Linked DNA regions of Drosophila melanogaster. The protein of the gene in region 4 interacts with the protein of the main gene of each other region in a pairwise test. Each region holds a gene or a part of one and is shown on either strand. Other genes may lie near its edges. The genes, in order: CG13494, CG12081, synr and bin3.

Region 1 (4,233 bases), about 16 Mb from region 4:
TTTATGCACTCAGTCCATAGTCCACAGTCCGCAGAGAAAGCTCTGGAAATTCCTGACCTGAGGCATTTTCTGTAGGGCCTGGGCTATTTTCTTTGGGCCATCTGATAATCGGCCCCAGCTGTGGCTAATCGGTTTACATTTGTCACACTGGCACTTTGGCCAAGGATTCTCTACTGGTAGATGCCACTTGTCCAGGAATCTGGTAAGTCCTGACGTTTCTCCTTAGAATTATGTTTGGTTAATGTTATATTGAACTTCAGTACATCCTTTTCCAATTACTCTGCCGTAATTTGGCAGGACCGCATTAATTTGTCGGCAAAATAATTCCTTTGGACTTCGATTCATACAAAACATATAATTTTATTAGCACAAGTTTCAGTTTTAATGACAGAATTTCAACGACAGTCAGGGTTCCCTTCCTATAAACTCGTCGCCTCGGCGTCTACAGCGAAAACAGAGAAAGGACTTCATACAACCAAAAAGGACGAGAACACCCATACAAGCACAGCAGGCAGCAATGATAAGAAAAATTACGACGAATATGAACAAAAGTCCCCAAGCACCTAGGTTAGTATCCGGGTGTCCAGTGGTTGTACGGTACGCCACAGTTGTCATGTTAAAGTCTATATATTCAATATCGTATTCAGATAGGGTTGTAGCATCCAACTCGGCCATAGCTTATGGGAAATAAATTGCAAATTTTGTTGCTTTCGATAATAGATTGAACCCTCTAAATGGAAGGAAATATGTATAAGGAAAATCACATTAAATTAACGAATGCTTCTCACCGTTCCTTGCATAGCAGCTTAAGAATTTCGATGACCCTGACCCTTCAGAAATTTTATTTTGGGTATAGATTTTTTTTTAATTTTAAGAGTACAGTCGCAGCTTACTGAAGTCGATATTTTTTTGTACTTTAAATTTGATTTTTGGTTGCCATATATTAAGTTAATAGATATCATTTCAAAATTAAGCTAGATTTTTTTATTTTTTATGAATAGACAACAATTTTGCCAATGAGCATACGGATGCTCCTAACGAATCTGTACCTGAGCACATTAAATTTATAGGCTTTCGAATCGCATATCCTAGCACTACGTACATATTAATAGAAACTTGAATTATCGCCGAATTAATCATCGTCCAAGGTGCAGTCCCCACAGCCGTCGCCACAATCGCCACACCCGCCGCCATCGCCGCAACATCCACCGCCGTCATCGCCGCAACATCCACCGCCGCCGCCTTCACCACAACATCCTTCGTCGCAAGCGAGGCACGCGGAGCAGGCGAGTCCGCAACAGCCGCACAGGCAGAGGAGCGGCAGGCAGATGATGAGCAGGCAGCAGAGGAGCACCATAACAACGATCAGGACAATAATACCGACAGCCATGCTACCCGCCTTGGCGGCCTCTGTAGTGGTGGTGGTGGCGATCGTGGTGCTCCATGAGGATGTTTCCGTCATCCCGCCTTCTACCGTTGATAATGTGTCATCCATGATTAATCACTTGTTGACGGTATTGAAATGTTTAACGTTTAGCTTATTGTAAATTAGAATAAATTACAAAAATTCAGACAGCAAAGTTGAGTGTGTATTCAAAGACTCCTTCAGCACAATTTTCATATGTGCCCACTTTCAATTTAGCATCATATTTGGTTTTAAATATATTCAAGTTCCCCATCTACGAAAGACAAAAGCAAAGAAGCTTATGGGCATAGGTGCATTCGTCACGCTTCCACACGAAGCGACTTCTAACGATCAATCGCACTTAAAATCCTTTCCACAAAAGTACTCATTAAACCCACGAACACACCACCCGTCATACAATGCCCATTCGAATTGTATAATAATTAATGAAATGCATTAACGAAAGCATTTTGCGGGTGGAACTGGGATTGGGTTGGCAGAGAGGGGTGGTCCTCGAACGGGGATCTGGGGAGCTGTCCCTGAGCTCCTGTGTGTACCTGCGCTCGTTAGCGCTCCAAACACCCACTCTGCGAAACACCCCCACTTTAACTCATATGCAAAAAACACACCCTCGCCTCACGCCATCATTATCATAATTTGAATGTGATGCGAGCTTTAAAATATTCATGCGAGTAGAAAGATTTTTTTCAAGTGTGCGCACGTGTGCGCCTGGGTTCGTTATAGGGAGCTGTTTACTGTACCAAGAGGTCGTTGATTATAATGACTGTATTTTGTGCGCTGATTACTCCACAGAGAAAATTAAGAAAATGAGTCAACAACTTAATGCAAAAAACAAAAGGAAGCTCTTCGATAAACAGCGAAATGAATATATATTTTTTCAGATATCTATCTGTTTCGTGCATAATAAATATAAACTGCGTTGGACTTCAACCATAATTAAACACTGAACATTGTGTTAAGTAACTAAAGGTTGATCAAACAACTCCTGATAATATACTCACCGGGAAAGTAAAAATCCACTTCTCGTTCTGAATCACAAATCAGTGATTGCAATTGGGAACTATTAGACACGTTTGTCGGCCAATTGGCGGTGGCAGCATTGAAAGCTCATTCAATTCACTGCCTCACACTGACACCCACACTCAGACATGCATTCACCCACACCTGCAAACTCACTCACACACACACACACATACACACCTTTAACATATAGCATCATGGCACACGTGGCTGCATGTCAAAGTGCAAAGTTTTGTGCCACAAAAAACAAGCTGCGAGGGGTGGCAATGTGGGTAATGGCAGTCAAAAGCGCCGCTTGTCGATGTTTTCTGAAAAAAGAAGGAATGAAATCGTAGGGGAAAGCAGAAAAAAGTTACGTTTTTCACGGCGTTGTTGCTGGCAACCCTTTTAGCTCTGGCAATTTAAACTCGCCCGCTCCAAAGTTGCCCACTTGCCATATCCTGTCGCAGGCGTTGTCCTTGTTGTTGCTGCGGTTGGTGCCTCCGTGTAGTTGCCGCATCCCTCGAACGGCTGAGGATCCTCAGGGGGTTAAGAGCTTTTGGCTGCGGGCTGAGGGGTAACTGCGTGGCATGCAATGCGCGATTGCACAAAGTCAACTTGCACATTAGAATTCGACGAAGGATGAGTTGCAGGGCAACGCGTTGAAAGGCGGAAGGACTAGGCTCATCTGTCTGCGATTCCATCTCGGGGTAAAACTGAATACTAAACAGGCGTCTTCACTACACTAAATATATTTTCAGAAACTATTTAAATCTAAGAAATGGATTTATAGCAAGTTAAGGCTATCTTTCCACTTGAATAGATGCGAATGTAAAGAAAATCATCTTCCGGCAAATATGACTTCCTAGTCGAAAAGTCCCAAATGGTCAGATATCCGTCCCCAATGAAAATCGTACGCAGCTGAATTTATGTGTATTCCCAACCAATCATCATCATCATCAGGAACAAACGCAATGGCAATGATCATGTTCGTATCCTGCCATCATCGCATTCATTGGCACTCAACGGGGGCAGCGAATCGCAATCGTAAACTTGATTGTAATAGTATAATTTTTGGCGTAAAAGCCAAACAAATAAACAAGACAAGCACTTGGATTCCCGGCGTATCCCATCCGGCAGATAATCCCCGCACATATGAGTCGGTGGATGAGGCGGCCGAATTTGCCGGCCCCATTTTCATGCAATTTTTATGACTTGGCTCTGTGCGCTGTTCTTTATTTTTTTTTTTGGGGGGGGGGGGCGAATCGAGAGCATCTTACTCATAATCCGCCCCAATGGACCTTTCTCTGCAGGTCTGCAAAACCATTTACTTTTCCCCGGCCAGAAGCTTGGATTTCCCTCGATTTCTCTTATTTTTGCCCTGCTTACCACGTCACGCATCCTGCGAAAAGTTATTGTTATCCTTTTGTTTTAGTGCGCATCTTTTATACTCGTTTCATTTTTTTCTCCTGTTCTTATTGCCTTGGCCGGCCCTTTCGCATTGATTCATAATACATAAATATAAATATTGCGTATACGCAGCGTTTCGCTCGCCCTCGATTGCCATAAATTCTTATAAGTGTGGCAGAAACTCACTCACACATACAGGCACACACTATGGGCAAGCCCAGCGCCAAAGTCATCAATCTTTTAGCATTTCACTTAGATAAAGCAAACTTGTACTCCCTTTCCCTAGTCCCAATATTTGTGCATAAATATTAATATTGCATGACCATTTTTATTTGTTTGCCGGCCAGACAGGATCTTGGACTTTCTAGAGTACTGAAATCGATAAGCTGACGCTACTG
Region 2 (5,771 bases), on a different chromosome or scaffold from region 4:
TTATCCTCAAAATGCAGTTGACATCTCGAGTGTCCAATTTGTCTGCTGTCTGCAATTAAAATGCGCTGCTTGAGCACTTAATTGACCGCCCTGCCAGCCGTCTGACTGTGTGTGTGTGTGCTCGTGTGCCTGTGCGTTTCCTTTACTAACAGACACCGCCTAACCAGCCACGCCCACCGCTCAGAGTAGATGTCATTGCCCGCTAACAGAAGAGTCCTTGCTAAATGTATAACCATTGGTAGCGGGAATTGCCCAGACATTGTGCTTTAATCGTGTTTGTTGTTTCCTTTGCTCTCATCCCCGTAGTTTCGCTCGAGGAATCGCAGTTCGAATCACCGCCGTTGACTCAGGAGAAGGTGCTGGAGCTCATCGAGCAGGCATATCCCAATCCCGTGTCCCCCGAGGATCTGGCCAAGTGAGTACATCAAGATCCGTTTGAAGTCTAGACCTGAGATGTAATTAATTCATTTTGTTTAATGCAGGGATTACGGCTGGAGCGAGCAGGATGTGCTGCTGGTGATCAAGTCACTGCAGGAGCGCGGTCTGATCAAGTCGATGGAGTACAATGCGTACACTCGCATCCATCACGAGGACAAGGAGATTAAGGTGGTCAAGCAGATGCCCACGATCGCCTCCAACAAGCAGCCCACCATTGCCATCATCACGGCGCAATATTGCGAGAAGCTCGCCGTGGACGCAATGCTCGAGAACAAGGAGACATTCGTCCGATACACCACAGTCGGTAGGTGGTTCAGTTCAGTTCAGTTCAGTTCGATAGCGAATCGAATTTCCCTCAACTCTTACTAATCAAACTCTCGTCTAACCGTCTTTTCTCTGTTTCTCTCTTTCCACTTCTGTATCCCAAATACCTCGACTTTTGTGGAAACAAAAAAAAAATATATATATATCCTCATCACCACGAAAATTTCGCCATAAACGAATGAATTTGCATACAAATTTGCTGATGTTTACTTGCCTGCAATGATATTAATTAAATACAAACCTTTCACCTTTCCCCCGAATCGAAAAATACCAAACCATGTAACAGATTCCGATCCCAATCTAACGAACTCACTCAGAAAGTCCAAAAAGAAACGAAGATTCGGTAAGCTAAATGTCCAGAATCCACTCCTTAACTCAGAAGCACCCATATGTATATCCAAGGTCAAGTTCATGAGTTTTTTTTAGATCATTAATACTCTAAAGAATCATCTTTGAATCAAAAATAACAATAGTAATGCAATCGATTGAACATGGAGCGTTCGCATGTATCGAGTGCGCACTGTACGCGAATGAGTTGCCATAAACTTGGATAGAAAGTTATGAACTTGGCCTAGAATAATTCGATTTGTTGTAACTTTCGTGTCCTTTGTGTGTCTGTGCTGTATCGTCGTCGGTGCTTTGTTTTGTTTCATTTGTTTTGTTGTTATGGTAAAGGATTGCCCCAGGATACATGACCTTATATTGTACATATACACATGTAACTACGTCATTAGACGGATTGATTAGATCCGTCACACACTCGGTTCATTAATTGGTTTATGTTTTGTATTTTGATCGCAAAAGAATATGGGATGTATGGAAAATTATAATTGGTGTTTCTTTTTCTTTTTTTAAATATGATTTGTTCCTTATTTCATGTTCTTTTCATTCCTCTTTGTATAATTTGGTATATATGTATCTATCAATGTCCTGAACGTAAACCGCTTTCTGTAAGCCAATCAATTGATCCAAACTTTCTCTCTACTCCACAGGCGAATCGAATGTGTATACTCTGGGCAATATCGGGGCGCACAGGATCGTGAGCACCAAGCTCCCGTCGGTGGGCAGCAATCGGGAGGCGATGACGGCGACGGGCAATACCACAACCCGTCTGTTGGGCACATTCCAAAAGGTCGACTATGTTTTCATCGTGGGCGTAGCCGGTGGCGTTCCCCACTACACGGACTATAAGAAGCACGTGCGACTGGGCGATGTGGTCATCTCGTATGTGGACAAACAGCGGGCACTGATCAGCAATAGGTAAGTTACACGAATATAAAATCTTCAATCTATCAATCGCATTCATGTATGGCTCTTCACAGCAAGGAGAAACCGTACGTGTACTTGTACAAGAGCGGCGAGGACGTGAAGACCTACTTCCCGGTGAACGATTCGCTGCAGCAGATCGCCGAGAGCCTGCAGGCCAACATGCAGGTGAAGCGGCCGTGGGAGGACTACCTGAACCAGGCCCAACAGGCGTTGGCCCAGAAGACGGATGCCGACTTCAACCGGCCGGACGCGCGGACGGACAAACTGTTTATGAACATTGGAAATAACGAGGTGATCGAGGTGGCCCATCCCATTGCCGCCGACGAGGTGGACGGTGTCAATCGGTTGCGACTCCATCTGGGTCCCATTGGATCCGGAAGGGATCTGGTGAGGAGCGACGAGCTGCGCACCCAGTTCGCCAGGAAGTACGGCCTACTGGCCACCGATGTGGAGATGAGCAGCGTGCTGGACAGCATCATTGGCAATTGCAGAGAGAGCTTTATACTGGTGAAGGGCATCGCTGACTACAAGGACGGCACGTCCACCAGGAAGTGGCAAAACTTCGCTGCCATTTCGGCGGCGTCGGTGGTTAAGTCGGTTATCTGCGGCATGGACGCGCCCACGAATGTATAGGAGGCGGGGCTTCGAATACCCCATTTCCTCCATTACACCCCAACCCCCCCGCCCACCCCTTCCCTGCAATCGTAGCATTTGATTTGCCTCCAATTTTCGTACCAATCCCGCTGCGGCGTCCCTTTATTTTTTTGTGGCCAGACACATGGGGACCACTATTCGTAAACCAAAATGTGCATAGATTGCATCATATATAATGTATGTTCGCGTAATATTGTATTAAATGATTTCTTGTTATTTATTTTGTTATAACTTTTGTACTACAATCAATCTAATTTACACACAAACACTTGACGTATATAAAAACACATATATACAACAGTAAATAAATATCGCAACTAAGCTTGCAAAAACTAAGAATATTCAATGAGAATTTGTGATTGAGTGAAAAAAAGTTCAGGTAAATTGACCAAAGACATTAGAATATTCTAATTCATTGTTTGGAGCTTCATCTTAAAAATCAATCTAGTGTAAATGCACATTGCCATTGCAACTGTTTCGCTAAAATAGCTAAATATTTAATGCAAATACATTGGATTTTCGAATTTGTCATTTTTTAAATGCAATTGTCAATCAGAAATCTATACTATCGATATCGATAACAGCACGACCCAGTGGAGCCCTGCTATTTCGTGCGTCCGCTCACGCACGCAACTCTGTGTGCTTGTGTTGTTCAAAAATTCGATCCGTTTCGTTTCGTTTCAACATCTGGCAAAACTGGCAGAGCGGAGCGCAGCTAGCGCTTGGTATCAGTGTTTATACCTGTGTGGCCTTCAATTGCTCGCACCTGCGCCCGCACCACCCTGCCCCCGCTCCCAAAAGGAGCGACAACTGCGGCGCACTTGCTTTCCTTTGTGTGTTTTGGCTGCTTGGGCTGCTCGGGCAGCTTGGGCCCAAAGCAAAGATCTCCGTCTCCTCGCACAGCACACTGGTGCTACACGGCTCGCAGCCCACAGCGCACAGCTTATCCAGTTGGCCAAGACATGCTGTGGACGGTGCATCTGGACGGTGGGCCACAGCGGGTCAATCACGCAGCGGTGGGCGTGGGCGACTTCATCTACAGCTTTGGTGGCTACTGCACCGGATACGATTATCGCTACAATGAGCCCATCGATGTGCACGCCCTGAATGCACACACAATGCGCTGGACTCTGGTGCCCCAGCAGCTGGACGACGCGGGTGTGCCACTCAAGTATCCGCTGGTGCCCTTCCAGCGCTACGGACACACGGTGGTGGCCTACAAGGATCGCATCTACATTTGGGGCGGTCGCAACGACGAGAATCTCTGCAATACCCTCTACTGCTTCGATCCCAAGACAGCGCAGTGGTCGAGGCCCCAGGTCACTGGCTGTCTACCCGGAGCGCGGGATGGTCACTCGGCCTGTGTCATTGGCAATAGTATGTACATCTTCGGTGGATTCGTCGATGAGATCAACGAGTTCAGCAGCGATGTGCATTCCCTTAATCTGGACACCATGGAGTGGCGCTATGTTCAGACATTTGGCGTGCCGCCCAGCTACAGAGATTTTCATGCGTCGGTGGCCTACGAACAGGAGCGAATGTACATCTTCGGCGGGCGGGGCGATAAGCACAGTCCGTACCACAGCCAGGAGGAGACCTACTGTCACGAGATCGTCTACCTGGACATGAAGACCAAGGTGTGGCATCGACCGTTCACGGCCGGTAAGGTGCCCGTTGGTCGACGCAGCCACAGCATGTTCGTTTACAACAAGCTGATATATGTCTTCGGTGGCTATAATGGCCTGTTGGATCAGCATTTCAACGATCTGTACACCTTCGATCCGCGCACCAAGCTGTGGAACCTGATACGGGCCAACGGCAAGGCACCGACGGCGCGTCGGAGACAGTGCGCCATTGTGATGGGCACTAGGATGTTCCTGTTTGGCGGCACCAGTCCAAGGAGCGGCTCCTCCAGCTCGCCGGCAGCTGTTTCACCCACTCAAGAGACGGGCGGAGCCGCAGCGGCTGGCGGAGTTGTTCCGCCCGGTGTGGCGCTTATCGACTACAGCGATCTGCATGTGCTCGACTTTGAGCCCACTCTAAAAACCCTGGCCACCATGGTGGTGCTCAAGCACCAGCTGGACATCTCGGGGCTGCCAAGGAGCTTCCGCTCGGACCTGCAGATGCTGACACAGCCGAACAGTATTAGCCGGCCCATCAACCAAGCTGGCTAGCGTCCAAAGCCGTAAGGAATAAGCCGGAGTCGACTGCCACAAAATGGAATGAGGTGGAAAAATGGTGTTGAATCACGGAGCCACTAGTCCGGTTCTTTGTATTGGAGCTCGAATAACACTTTCGGGAGAGATGACGAATGGAGGACCTGAGCGAACGAGGGAGAAGCCCCAGTAATTACAAAAGTTTTAGAAACTTGCTTTTGGTACTTCTGATAGCTGCTAAATAATACACAATAATTATGACCATGCGAATGTAGAATATAGTTCATGAAACATTTATAAATCGTCCTCAAATAATACACAATAATAATGACTATGCGAGTATAGAATATAGTTGATGAAACATTTATAAATCGTCCTTTCGCCAAAATGCCCGATAAGAAAATGAATATAATATCTTAAACTCATTAATCATATTATTCAGTTTTGTTTACTTTGCCTTCTTGCTGAATTTTGTATAGCTGGTTAACTTAACACTATATTAATCTGTGGGCCGTTCATTGCGAACTCCAAACTTGCACGAGTCGGCTGTTTAAATATTTGCTTTTCGCATTAGGATCTATGTGGCAGCCGTTTCGTTAATTTAGACACTTTCAAACCGCCAAGGTATTCATCTCACCTTGGAATTACCTAATCTATTTTTGCGGTCAAACTAGTGACAAATCTCTATAACTAATTTACAGAGATCATCTCCTTTTAGGCAGTGTATGCATATATATATATATATGGTAATTGTGGATGTAACTCCCCTTGAACGCGGTGTTCCAGGCAGGAAACAGTCATCGAATCACTTGAAAGCAACAGCCTCGCACGCAATGCCAGTAAGAGTAAGGTCAGCAGCGCTCTAATTGCCTATTATGAGTGGTAGTTGCAACGCAAGGCCTCCAGGTGCGGAACACAGCGAGTACTTGG
Region 3 (5,343 bases), on a different chromosome or scaffold from region 4:
CAACAACAACTTCCACAAGTGGCCCAACGACAACTACTCCTAGATCCACAACAACAACTTCCACAAGTGGCCCAACGACAACTACTCCTAGATCCACAACAACAACTTCCACAAGTGGCCCAACGACAACTACTCCTAGATCCACAACAACAACTTCCACAAGTGGCCCAACGACAACTACTCCTAGATCCACAACAACAACTTCCACAAGTGGCCCAACGACAACTACTCCTAGATCCACAACAACAACTTCCACAAGTGGCCCAACGACAACTACTCCTAGATCCACAACAACAACTTCCACAAGTGGCCCAACGACAACTACTCCTAGATCCACAACAACAACTTCCACAAGTGGCCCAACGACAACTACTCCTAGATCCACAACAACAACTTCCACAAGTGGCCCAACGACAACTACTCCTAGATCCACAACAACAACTTCCACAAGTTGCCCAACGACAACTACTCCTAGATCCACAACAACAACTTGCACAAGTGGCCCAACGACAACTACTCCTAGATCCACAACAACAACTTGCACAAGTTGCCCAACGACAACTACTCCTAGATCCACAACAACAACTTGCACAAGTTGCCCAACGACAACTACTCCTAGATCCACAACAACAACTTGCACAAGTGGCCCAACGACAACTACTCCTAGATCCACAACAAAAACCTCCACTTGTGCCCCAACGACAACTACTCCTAGATCCACAACAACAACTTCCACAAGTCGCCCAACGACAACTACTCCTAGATCCACAACAACAACTACCACAAGTCGCCCAACGACGACTACTCCTAGATCCACAACAACACCTTCCACAAGTCGCCCAACCACAACTACTCCTAGATCCACAACAACTACTTCCACAAGTCGCCCAACGACAACTACTCCTAGATCCACAACAAAAACTTCCACTTGTGCCCCAACGACAACTACTCCTAGATCCACAACAACAACTACCACAAGTCGCCCAACGACAACTACTCCTAGATCCACAACAACAACTACCACAAGTCGCCCAACGACAACTACTCCTAGATCCACAACAACACCTTGCACAAGTCGCCCAACCACAACTACTCCTAGATCCACAACAACAACTACCACAAGTCGCCCAACGACAACTACTCCTAGATCCACAACAACACCTTGTCCAACTACAACACCATCTGCAAGTCCTACAAGAACAACAACAACCCGTCGTCCTTGCCCTTGCCATCCCCAGCCTCCTTACCAGATTCCTCCTTGGTCATGGTGGTATCCGAACCCGACCTACCCCAATCCCGTGTGGCCCTGGCAACCTAACCCAGTCGTTCCTCAATGGCCACAGATGCCCGGATATCCAAATCAGTGGCCACAATTACCAGGTTATCCCCAGCAATTACCACCGCCGTTGCCATCACCTCAGTGGCCGTGGTCTTGGCCAAAACCACCAGTAGTTCAACCTGGCGACTGTGAAAACATATGCGAAAACCTACTGAAGGGAGTAAAATATCAAGAAGATCTCATCAGAAGGTGCTTGTGCACACGAACATAATCCTTTAAAAAAGAATCACGTAATTGTTTTATTAAAATGTTGTCTATTTAAAAAAATAACTTAAAACAAAGTTTTGATGGTTAAAAATATCGAACGGGTATGGTATGGATGTAGGTTTGATGATATTGAATGGCAAGTCTATCCTTCAGAAGTGGGAGGAAGGATTATGGATGTCACAATGGCGCATGCGCCTATATGGTTTTTGGATTCCCATGTTTTGCTTAACACTTTCGTCCCTGAGAAGCTCAGAAAGCTTGGGCGCCATTCATCAACAAGTTTGCATTCGGACTTCAGCACTCTAATCGACACTTGACTACATTATTACTTATTTAAACGCAATCATTTGACCCATTATTTTCCGACGCCTTTGCGTTTGGTTGCACTGCATTGCTCATGCGACATATGGTCGCACTATATGTTTGGAGCACACATTCGGACAAGTTTAATGACCAATTGCCAAGGGATTGGAGAACTCACTGCTCTTCGAATTAGGTTAGCACATTAGCTGGTTAAGGACAAACGTGGATTGAAGTTAGGATGGGGAGAGAAACAGGAAAACTTAACGAGTTCTAGCATATGATAATGTGTACAGCCATAAACTTATAGCTAACATCGTAATCCGTGCACAAGCTATTAAAAACTTCAAGAAGATATGTCCCTAAATTTTTCCAATAGTAATAAATATATAACCAAATTTACTCTCTCTGTAGGGCATACTACAATCCTAATAAGCTATAAACACTCCAGAGCAGAGCCTCTAATTTGCTGGTAATTTATCAAAATCTAGATTATAATCCTGCTGATGGATTATGTTTCGGGTCGATTAGTACCCCAGTTATAGGACTACTAGAGTTCGTCCTTCGTTCAGCTGAGCTTGCACATTTCCTACACAATAAGCAGATGTTAATGGCTCCCTTCTTTGTTGTTTTTGTTAACTTGTTAATACAAATACACCGTGTGCCAATTCACAAATCCAACAAGGTATAGTGGACATGCCAACAAAAAAGCTAGCAAAGCAAATAACACATTGTTGACAAACAGCGGGCTATTGGGGTGAACCTTCAAAAATCTATTGAACAAAAGTATTACTCGTCATATGTATTGTAGCATTTTAATTAAGGAAACATGTATTTTAATCAATATAACTTAAACTTAAAGATAGTAATGGTTGCACATGTCGTATGCGCAATTTTCATGAAGAGTGGTCCGCTCTAAAGGACACATACGTGGTAACAAGGGGGCTACGCTGGCCCCTGTCCCCACCTCCCGAAATGGTTTGTGGGTGGATTTGGTGTGGCCCTGTCCAATGGCTAGCGCGCAAAAATAATTTTTGTTATTGTGTTTTCCCTCATAAGTGGACATGACGGACCCAACGAAAGCTCATTCAGCGCTGGACAGGCGAACTGGAAAGGTCTAAGACGGAAGATGTCATCGCCGGCAGAGCGGGCGAACTTCGTGCAGCACTTCGGACAGACAACCTGAGTGATGGGCTGTGGCTCCTCCATGGATACGCAGACGAATCCTGTCGTCACGGAGGTCAGCTCGGAAATGCAACCTCGCCAGAATGGCGCCTCTGGAGTAATAGCACTTGAACAAGTCGTCTTACCTTTGCCATAATCAATACCTCTTCCATTTCGTCATCAGAATGTGGTCGAGCAATATGTGCGCCTGGACGAGCAGATCAGCAAGCTGGAGGGCACATGTCCTGGTCCTCGAATGGCCACCGCCGAGGCCTGGGTGGAGCACATTCAGAGCAAGCACGAGGCGATGCTGGGACTCGATGGCATGGGAGTGTCTCCTTTGCGCGAGAGGGAATGGGAAACCGAGGAGGCCCTGCCCATTCCAGCTTACACAATGGGGGGGCGGCAGGGCGACCCAATTGTGGCCAACACGCCCACCAAGGACCTGGCCCAGGTAAATGGCCTGCCATTAGTGAATGTGATGAACTTCCCTCAAGTATATTATTACCATTCGACTTTAGCTTGCCTACAACCTGGGCGTAATTGGCGATGCCCGCAAGGCTTCCATGCACGAGGATTTCTTCGCCAACCTGAGCGAGTCCGCCATGTATTTGCTTAGCATTCGTTACTACGGCGAGATGTTGGAACACACTAAGGTGCGTCTAAAGACTCTGGCCGAGAGCTATGCAGAGCTGAACGAGCTGTACGTAAAGCAAGACGGGATTATAGCGTATATAAGCGGGGGAACGTACATGACTCGGCTGGAGGAGAGCATTGATGAGCAGCTTGAGACGGCAAGAGATACAAGGGATAAGCTGGGCAGCGCACTGGAGCAGTGGCGCATCTGTGGATTACTACTTAGAGCAGCCGCGAATTCCTCGACGCAGGCATTAAAACAATGGCGACAGCTTGGACGGATAATGTGGGTAAATTAATTCCCCACTTAGAACTTGTTGACATGTTATTTCTCGTTCAGAGATCCCAAGCAAAAGCTTCAGTGGGCGTTGGACTGTCGAAGTCTGTTACACGCCTCCACGATATCCCTAGAGGCGGCTCAGCTGGCTCTGCCGCACGTGGAACTCAAGTACATGAGTCATCGGCAAGTCCTAGCCGTCAAGCACTGCAACACCTACCTAATCACGGATATAGCAAACAAAGCGCGGTAAGTTAATATATAGATTTCTCTAGAATCTTCTACAAAGGGAAACGAATCCCTTTTAGGTACGAGCACACCAGTCGGGTCTTCACCAGTTACGAATCAAACATGTCCAAAACCTGCACGTGGCTCTACGAAACCTTTAACAGCACGCTGCGCCCAGACTACGACAGGGCGGAGGAAACTGTATGCGGGCTGGCCAAGACGCTCCGGGATCATCGCGAGGAGGTCTTCAACACGGTGCGCAAGTGACATTAAACTTATTGCTCAATTATATGGGTATTTTGTACATTACTTTAATAAACAGTAGGCATAACATTAGTACCAATAGCTCTTGACTGGCGTGCGTTCCTCTTTGATGCCCATTTCCTCCATAATGTCCATCTCGAATGTGGACAACTTGGGCTGAAAGGTGATCTCGCCCACAACAGCGCCTGAAAAGGACAGACTTGTATGACTAGGAACATATTGAAATGCGATAATAGCCCATACCTGGCGTATCCTTCTCCCTTTCGATATAGGCGTTTGGTGTTTTATAATCGTGCGTCTGGTTGTTCGTCTCCGGGATGGGTATGATTCGGCCAGATCGCAAGGACACCCGCACTTTCTCGCCCTCCTCCGTGAAACGCCACTCAAAGTCGGTGCCCTGAAGATCCGATGGGTCAACCAGACGAATGTCCTTGGTGACGTGCAAAGGTGCCTCGGACTTGATAATGATACCGGGAAACTCCTTCTCACCGCCAACCTTGCGATAGTGCCAGTTCAGGCCCTCTACAATTACCCAATTGCGCTCGGGTATAACCTGGGTGACAATTCCCTGCTTTCCTTTGTCTTTACCCACAAGGACTTCGATACGATCGCCGCGGAAAAAGCTCCAGTCCTCTGAAAAGGATATACAACCATGTTTTATTAGGTTTTAGAGGTCAAGGCTTCTTATTCCTTACCAATTGGTTCCACTAGCACCTTGCGACGCACGGTTCCGGGCATATTTTGCTGGCGGAACTGACCCGTCCATGAACGATTTGTGGTGTAGCGGAATCTCTTTCGCTCCACGGTACGCGGTAGGTAATTAATCTCCTTCGGAGTTTGCCAGTACACCTGTGTTGAGATGAAAAAAAATATTTTAATAAATGTGAAACATTTTCCATGCGATGTGTTACGTGAGCCGCTGTTCACA
Region 4 (6,284 bases):
GCTGGCGGGCTGCGTATTTACGCGGTTTCCAAAGTTTCTTGGAGGATCCTCCTCGCAGCGTCCCACCTCCAGATTTTCCGGTAAAAGGAGGCGAGTAAATCGTGCCCGAGACCCCTCTCAAAAGAACCTCAGCTAGCTGGCGGGCCAGCGTGAGGCGCAACGATTGAGTAGCCCTCGTTTCGATGGCGTTTAGCATGATTCGATACCGTTCAACGGCCTCTTGAAGCTTTTCCGTCTTAATAAGCACTATGGGTGCCCGTTGCAGGGCGGTCTCTAGGATGGCGCCCATCCTGCGGTTCATTTCCAGTCCACTTGGACCACTCGCCGGTATTGTACTGCTGATTGCAAAACTGCTGCTCGACGGCTGCACAGTAGAGGCGTTTACATTCAACGTAGAACCAGCTGTCGAGTTGTTGGACGAGCCACTGCTTCCACTAACGAGATCGTATTCCTGCAGATAGAGCAGCCCCAGATCAGATGCGCGCTCAAAACAGCTAATCTGGAGTAAGAAATTATTAAATCAGTTACGTTTTAAAACTGAAATCGAGGACTTTACCATTTCCGTGTCCTTTTCGGCCTTCTTAAACTTAGATGACGGCTTCGTAGTCTGCTGCTCCAGACACAATCCCTTGATGGCATACGATTCCGCAAGGATCTTCAGGCTGCGACTTTTATATATATGTAAGCAGAAGTGATAAGTTTTGCAAATTTGCTATTAATTAAGAGTTGATGTGTACATTCATCTTAATTTGCAAGTCCCCACGTAGTAGATGAGAACATTTTGATTAGAAAACCTTTTCCCAACTTACAGGGTCAGCTCCTTCTCGGCAAGCGTGTTGAGTTCTGCCTTGACGAAATTGTCTAGACTCTGCTCATACTCGCCGCAGGCAAAGCACAGCTTGGCCAGCAGCAAATAGGCGTCCAGGGCGATGCCCGCCTTCTGGCCACTCTCACCCAAAGCCAAGTGAAGGAAACGCCGGGCCTCCGCCAATCCAGACTTGGCGCGACCAAAATTTGAGTCTGACGCGAGAGCGTTTTCCTCCAGGTAACTCTCCAGACGAGCTTCCCCCACCAGAAAGTTGGCCAGGCACTCTGTTCCACGAAAGAAGGCAGTCATTCCAGGAGTACCGTCATCAGCGGAAATCTTCTTACCATTGTGCGGGGACCCGGTCTTCAGTTCATCCGTTAGCTCGATGACCCGGTGCCACTTGCCCTCGCTGCGACAGCTCTCAATCAGGGCCTCCACTTTGGTTGTGGTGTTACGCATGTTCTTGTTGGCCATATGTCCACTTCACGGATAATGTTGTCACTCTTTGCTTGCTGTGTGTGCCAGTGCGTGCCTGTGCTCGCTATAAAGCGGGTTCCTAAGAGCCTAAAGCGGATTCCTTCAAGACTAATCAAATTGTTTTGCAAACATTGGAGTTATCTGTTTTCTTCGCTCTTCTTCTTTCTCACATATGGCAGCATCTGTTATCGACAGCAACTATTATCGGTAGTCCCGCTAACAGCGTGCTGTAAAGCGATTTGTGTACCAGTGCTGTTAAGACATCTGTGGTCCGTCCCCTGTTAGCTGCTAACATGCTAACTCTCGGTCAGCTGTTCCATCTTTTTTTTTCCACAAGCGTGTGCAATCCATCAGAAGCTGTTCATATTGTTAATTGAATCGATAAGACCCAGTGTGGTAGCTCTTTCTTAAAAATATGAAACCTCTGCTCGCCAAATAGAACATTATCACATTATCCCTCATATTAGCAAGATGTCTTCATTTTATGTTGTTTTCTTACAACAGTTATGCATATGCATATGTACATACTATTATAAACTTCATTGTTTTTCGATTACTAATTTTTTCATTTTTAAAATTGGCAACACTGGTGGGCTCTGTTAACCGAGAATATATATAAAAATATGTTAGTTGTAAGTGTTTTCTTGCAGGAGACTGACGCACTTATTAGAGCTCCGCGAACGGAATCATATTTTACGGTTTTTTTTTTTTTTTATCAAGAGTGTGGCGAATTTAACGGCAACAACGAAACGAAAAGTGAAAACAAAGTTCAAGTCGCCACTGAGCAATCGTGGGGCTTTCTGGGCGGTAAGTGTTTTGTCCTTAAGATTCATTTTTGTTTTGTCTAAAGGCGCAGCACGTGTGGATTTGTGTGCACACTCAGCTGTTCCTAGGGTTTCTGTTTTTCGCGAGCACACACAAGTTAGCAATCAGTTGGAAAGCTATGAAGAAATGGAAGTAGTCCAGGCAGAGTATTTGGACAAGAGTAGTTTCTTAATTGTGTGTGTGTGCATAAACAAACGTTAAGTGCATTTCAACCTTCTAATAGGATATGGACCAGAAGAGTGGTCCCCGTATACCCTCTCTTATCGAGTTGACTTCCACTTTTGCTTTCAATTTTAGGAGCCATTTAAGCAATCAAATTTGTTTTTCCTGAGTGACCCCTCATGCCAACCGTTCTCGCAGTCATCGATAACTTTTATCGCGTGCCCCTCAGAAGTCAAAGTTAATTGCCAGTCTTTTATTTTTTTGCCCGGCCTTTTTGAGTTTTTGTTGCTTTTCGAATGTGCAATATTTCCATTTGCATTTCCATATACAAAATCTTAGGTAAAACATATATACAAATCAACACAAAACATCCATGTCAGATTCCAGGCTTTTGGCTCCTCTCATTCTTCAAATTTCTTGCCAATCTTTTAGGCTTCGGAGAGCATATTATTCACCCCAACCGAAGGAATTCGTCAAAAGCGGTGGTGGGGGTGGGCAGTTGGTTCCAGGGATAATAATGGTGGGGCGAACGGGTCGGATATGTGGGTTAGCAGTTCGATGCACAGTGGCTCTTTTACCCGAACTGCCAAAAAACAAATCAAACTGTCTTATGGAGCTGCTATAAGTATTAAATTAAAAATAGATTTTAATAGAAAAAGTAAAAATAGGAGTCCACTTCGAACGCTCCCCTGGTGCGCTTTGTCACAAAGTTAACACTTTCCTACAAAACACTATAAAGTGTAATTACGAACTAAATATTTTTTTCATTTTTTCTATCAAGACACTCATTTATTTGAGTATCATGGAAACCGTAGTCAAATTTAAACAAGCCAGAAGATGTTTAAATATATATACATAAATGTTTATATAGATTTGTTGAAAAGTAACAGATACAAGGAAGATTCGGCCACGAAGCTATTTTTTCCCAAATAAAATTCAAAATTAAAATTATTTTCTCATTTTCATGTCACTCCGAATATTAGCTAAAAGTGACATTAAAGGTATTACACGCATGTGGATTATGGTTACAGTGTCTTGTTCTATGAGTTTCCCGTTTATGGAAAGGAAAGTAAGCGCAAAACTGAAAAGTTGAAAAAAGGCGGCTTAACAATTTTAAAGTAGTGGGTGAATGGTTCCCGTTTGCATTCTTAACTTGATACACTTATAAAAACTTTCACTACAGTTTATAGAAAATGTATAAAATTTTAAAAGGAACTACCTTTTTAAAAGTAATTTTTTTCTTATCCTCTGAAAGAAATCAGGTTGCTACTTCCAAAATAGTTAATTACTATTATCTATAGCCATTATGAAGGAACTTATCTAGTAACAAGTTTATTGGTTTTAAGTATTTTGAATTTTCCTTATTTAGGCTATATCATTTTCTCTCAGTTTTTAGGGAGCTATATAAAATGTGCGTAGGACAAGTTAGAATATAAGATGGGTGAAATAGCCAAAAGACCGTTTGTTTCATTGTTCCTGCTGCATTGCCGCTGCAGTTTTTGTCCCGGCTGTTGTTGGTTTAGGTCCCGCAATCCTTTGTTTGCTTCTGCACATTCTTAATCCGCGCCAATGCATCTGTCAACGAGCCGGCGAACTCTCATTAGTGAAGCTTCGTTTTGTAGGCGTTCGTTAATGAACTACCCACATCGCGATGACCTTGATGTGAAAAAATCTGTAATTATGAAGAAAAGTAAGAAAGAAAATAACCAGAAAAAGGTAAAAATCCAGTATTTTTAAAATATTTGGATGGGTACCTTGATGACATCTTAGGAGTCCCAGGACATCTCTAAACTTTGTAAGGCCCATCTGATATATGTAAATATGTTATATTATCTTCTTAGTAGGCTCCCCAAACTGTGCAATATATTATTTGACAACAAAAATAATTGTTACCTTTCTATGTGCATGATGTATTTATTGTAATCTAATTTTTGTGCTCATTTTGGTTGGCTTACATTGTAAAATATTTACATTTTACCAAACGAAATGCTATTTCTGGACACTTTCTAAAAAAAAACGAACCCTTTTCGAAAAATCGCTCCAACACTCTGAGTAGAGGGTAACTGATTGCTTTGAACCTTGTTTGTATCTACATATCTCTATTTGTTTTGCTCTCTGAGCGCTCGTTGACTGGTCAACGAACCTGTTGCTGTTGTTAACAATAAAAAGCAACAAATTAAAAATATTATAGTCGCAACACCAACACTAGATGTTGGCAGTCTATGCAGGTATTAGGGAAATTCAACAGAAAACTTAAACATGGCGATTTGGAAATAAGTAAAAATTAAGAAATTTTGATTAAATAAAAGTGTTTATTAAATGGCATAAGAAATATATTATCTTTACTTTAAGTATGAGGTACCTTATTCTGGTCGCGTAACATTAGTATTACATACATTCCAGTTTGTACCGTCGGAAATTTAAGTCCCTTGCAGTTAATACCATGTAAAATTTATTAATGTGTTGCGGATCTGATTAAGTTACTCACTTATATACCGCAAATTGACTGCGTTTTGCAGTATTGTAATTTAGTAAAACACCTTAAGCATTTTATTTCGTAAAGTGTGAAAAGAAAGTTAAAAATCTTGACGCGAAATTAAAAGAAACAAAAGAGAACGCTGTAGTCGAGCCCATATACCATCAGATACCTGTTACTCAGCTAGTGGAAGTGCAAACGATAAATAATAATTATCAAAACATTTTCAAAAAATGTTGGCGTGACAGTTTTTGGCGGGTTGTAGGCAGTTAATAAATTTACGCTGCGTCATGGTCTCCGGAATCTAATCTCAAATTTTTAGCTCTTCTAATTCCTGTGACCTCGACGTTCATACGAACGGACAGACACTATGCCAGCAAACTAAAACTAACTATTACAAACTATGGTTTGTATTTGGTTTATATTTTTGGTTTATATTTTCTTAAAAATTCCTTACAAAATATATGTCACTCTTACACTTACACCATATACCCTGAATATCCCCAGGTTTTAAGACGTGCCAGTGTTAATAACGTCAGAAAGTCCTGAGCATCCTATTTGCATAACTCCCTAACATTCATTACTTTGATAAAGTAATTTACGTCAAATCAAACACCCAATCAATGTAGCTTGAATTATACAGTAGCATACAAACGCACACACTGATTGTCGTACAGACTTGCGAAAAAACTTGCTAAAAGCCTGACATGTTTAGATTGACTAAACGTTGTTTAAACTGAACTAGAATATCTATAAATTACGGCGCTAAAAAACAATCACTAGAAATTTAAAAAATAAAAGGACCATCAACAGTTATTAGCATTTGGAAAAAAGAAAATCGATGTGAAAACGATGGGAAAAATCCATGAATGGGCTTTGAATTGCTTCCGGTCACAGCGTCTATTTCCAATTCTCAGATATAGGTATATCTGATATAGAAAATTGGATGGTCGCTTTTCTCAGTGTGTTAACTCTTGAAGCGAACTATGTTGAATAATAAACCCAATTTTGTCAAAAACATTTGTCTCTTACTATGGTAGGCCGTGGACTTTTCAATTGACCTGCTAAGTCCTGGAATCCGAACTGCTCTGCATAGTCCAGGCAATCCTGGAACTTGTGATTGCTTTCGTGGCCACTGCTGGTGTTACGTCAAACCAGTCATTTTGCTCTGAATTTCTCATCTACTGTTCGGAGAACGCTCAATGCTTCCATGTGTGCCCTTATCACATTGTGAAGCTATTTATAGTTTCGCTTGCTGCTTTTTGCTCAGGCTTTTCATTTAATTTTTGCTGCGGTTTTATTGTCGTTGTTGTTCCCTATAATGTTGCGCTTGAGTATCCTTATTGGTTTTAGACTTCAGAGCAAAGAAAACTGTAATATACAAATTTTAAAAAATTTCGCTAATGGCCGCAATAGATCAAGATTATAAATAGTACCCAGTATGCATTCATAACATCATTTTGGTAAATGCCTTAACTCAAAAATTATCTATGATTTTGTATCACTATTTTTTCAAGTCTATATATAAAAAAAAAA

Evidence for each region.
Region 1: the proteins of bin3 (region 4) and CG13494 interact in a two-hybrid assay, tested with the Drosophila melanogaster proteins (one large-scale study listed by BioGRID).
Region 2: the proteins of bin3 (region 4) and CG12081 interact in a two-hybrid assay, tested with the Drosophila melanogaster proteins (one large-scale study listed by BioGRID).
Region 3: the proteins of bin3 (region 4) and synr interact in a two-hybrid assay, tested with the Drosophila melanogaster proteins (one large-scale study listed by BioGRID).

The regions. Positions count from the first base shown.
Region 1 is NT_033778.4:21,953,278-21,957,510, forward strand, and holds CG13494 (uncharacterized protein), read right to left. Parts: upstream 1,569-4,233; 5' UTR 1,496-1,568; coding exon 1,133-1,495; 3' UTR 965-1,132; downstream 1-964. Other genes in the region: CG43405 (uncharacterized protein), read right to left, coding at 406-675.
Region 2 is NC_004354.4:8,585,504-8,591,274, forward strand, and holds CG12081 (uncharacterized protein), read left to right. Parts: upstream 1-3,307; 5' UTR 3,308-3,647; coding exon 3,648-4,859; 3' UTR 4,860-5,271; downstream 5,272-5,771. Other genes in the region: CG12065 (uncharacterized protein), read left to right, coding at 307-415, 483-742, 1,049-1,105, 1,755-2,022, 2,085-2,664.
Region 3 is NT_033779.5:4,939,817-4,945,159, forward strand, and holds synr (sayonara), read left to right. Parts: upstream 1-2,925; 5' UTR 2,926-3,035; coding exon 3,036-3,128; intron 3,129-3,194; coding exon 3,195-3,464; intron 3,465-3,531; coding exon 3,532-3,932; intron 3,933-3,986; coding exon 3,987-4,172; intron 4,173-4,231; coding exon 4,232-4,418; 3' UTR 4,419-4,484; downstream 4,485-5,343. Other genes in the region: Sgs1 (salivary gland secretion 1), read left to right, coding at 1-1,550; mRpL24 (mitochondrial ribosomal protein L24), read right to left, coding at 4,485-4,600, 4,659-5,048, 5,111-5,264.
Region 4 is NT_033778.4:6,212,660-6,218,943, forward strand, and holds the start of bin3 (bicoid-interacting protein 3), read left to right. Parts: upstream 1-1,908; 5' UTR 1,909-2,092; intron 2,093-3,537; exon of another isoform or gene 3,538-3,944; intron 3,945-4,026; exon of another isoform or gene 4,027-4,078; intron 4,079-4,165; exon of another isoform or gene 4,166-4,235; intron 4,236-5,780; exon of another isoform or gene 5,781-5,960; intron 5,961-6,284. Other genes in the region: Ttc7 (tetratricopeptide repeat domain 7), read right to left, coding at 1-499, 557-668, 810-1,092, 1,153-1,282.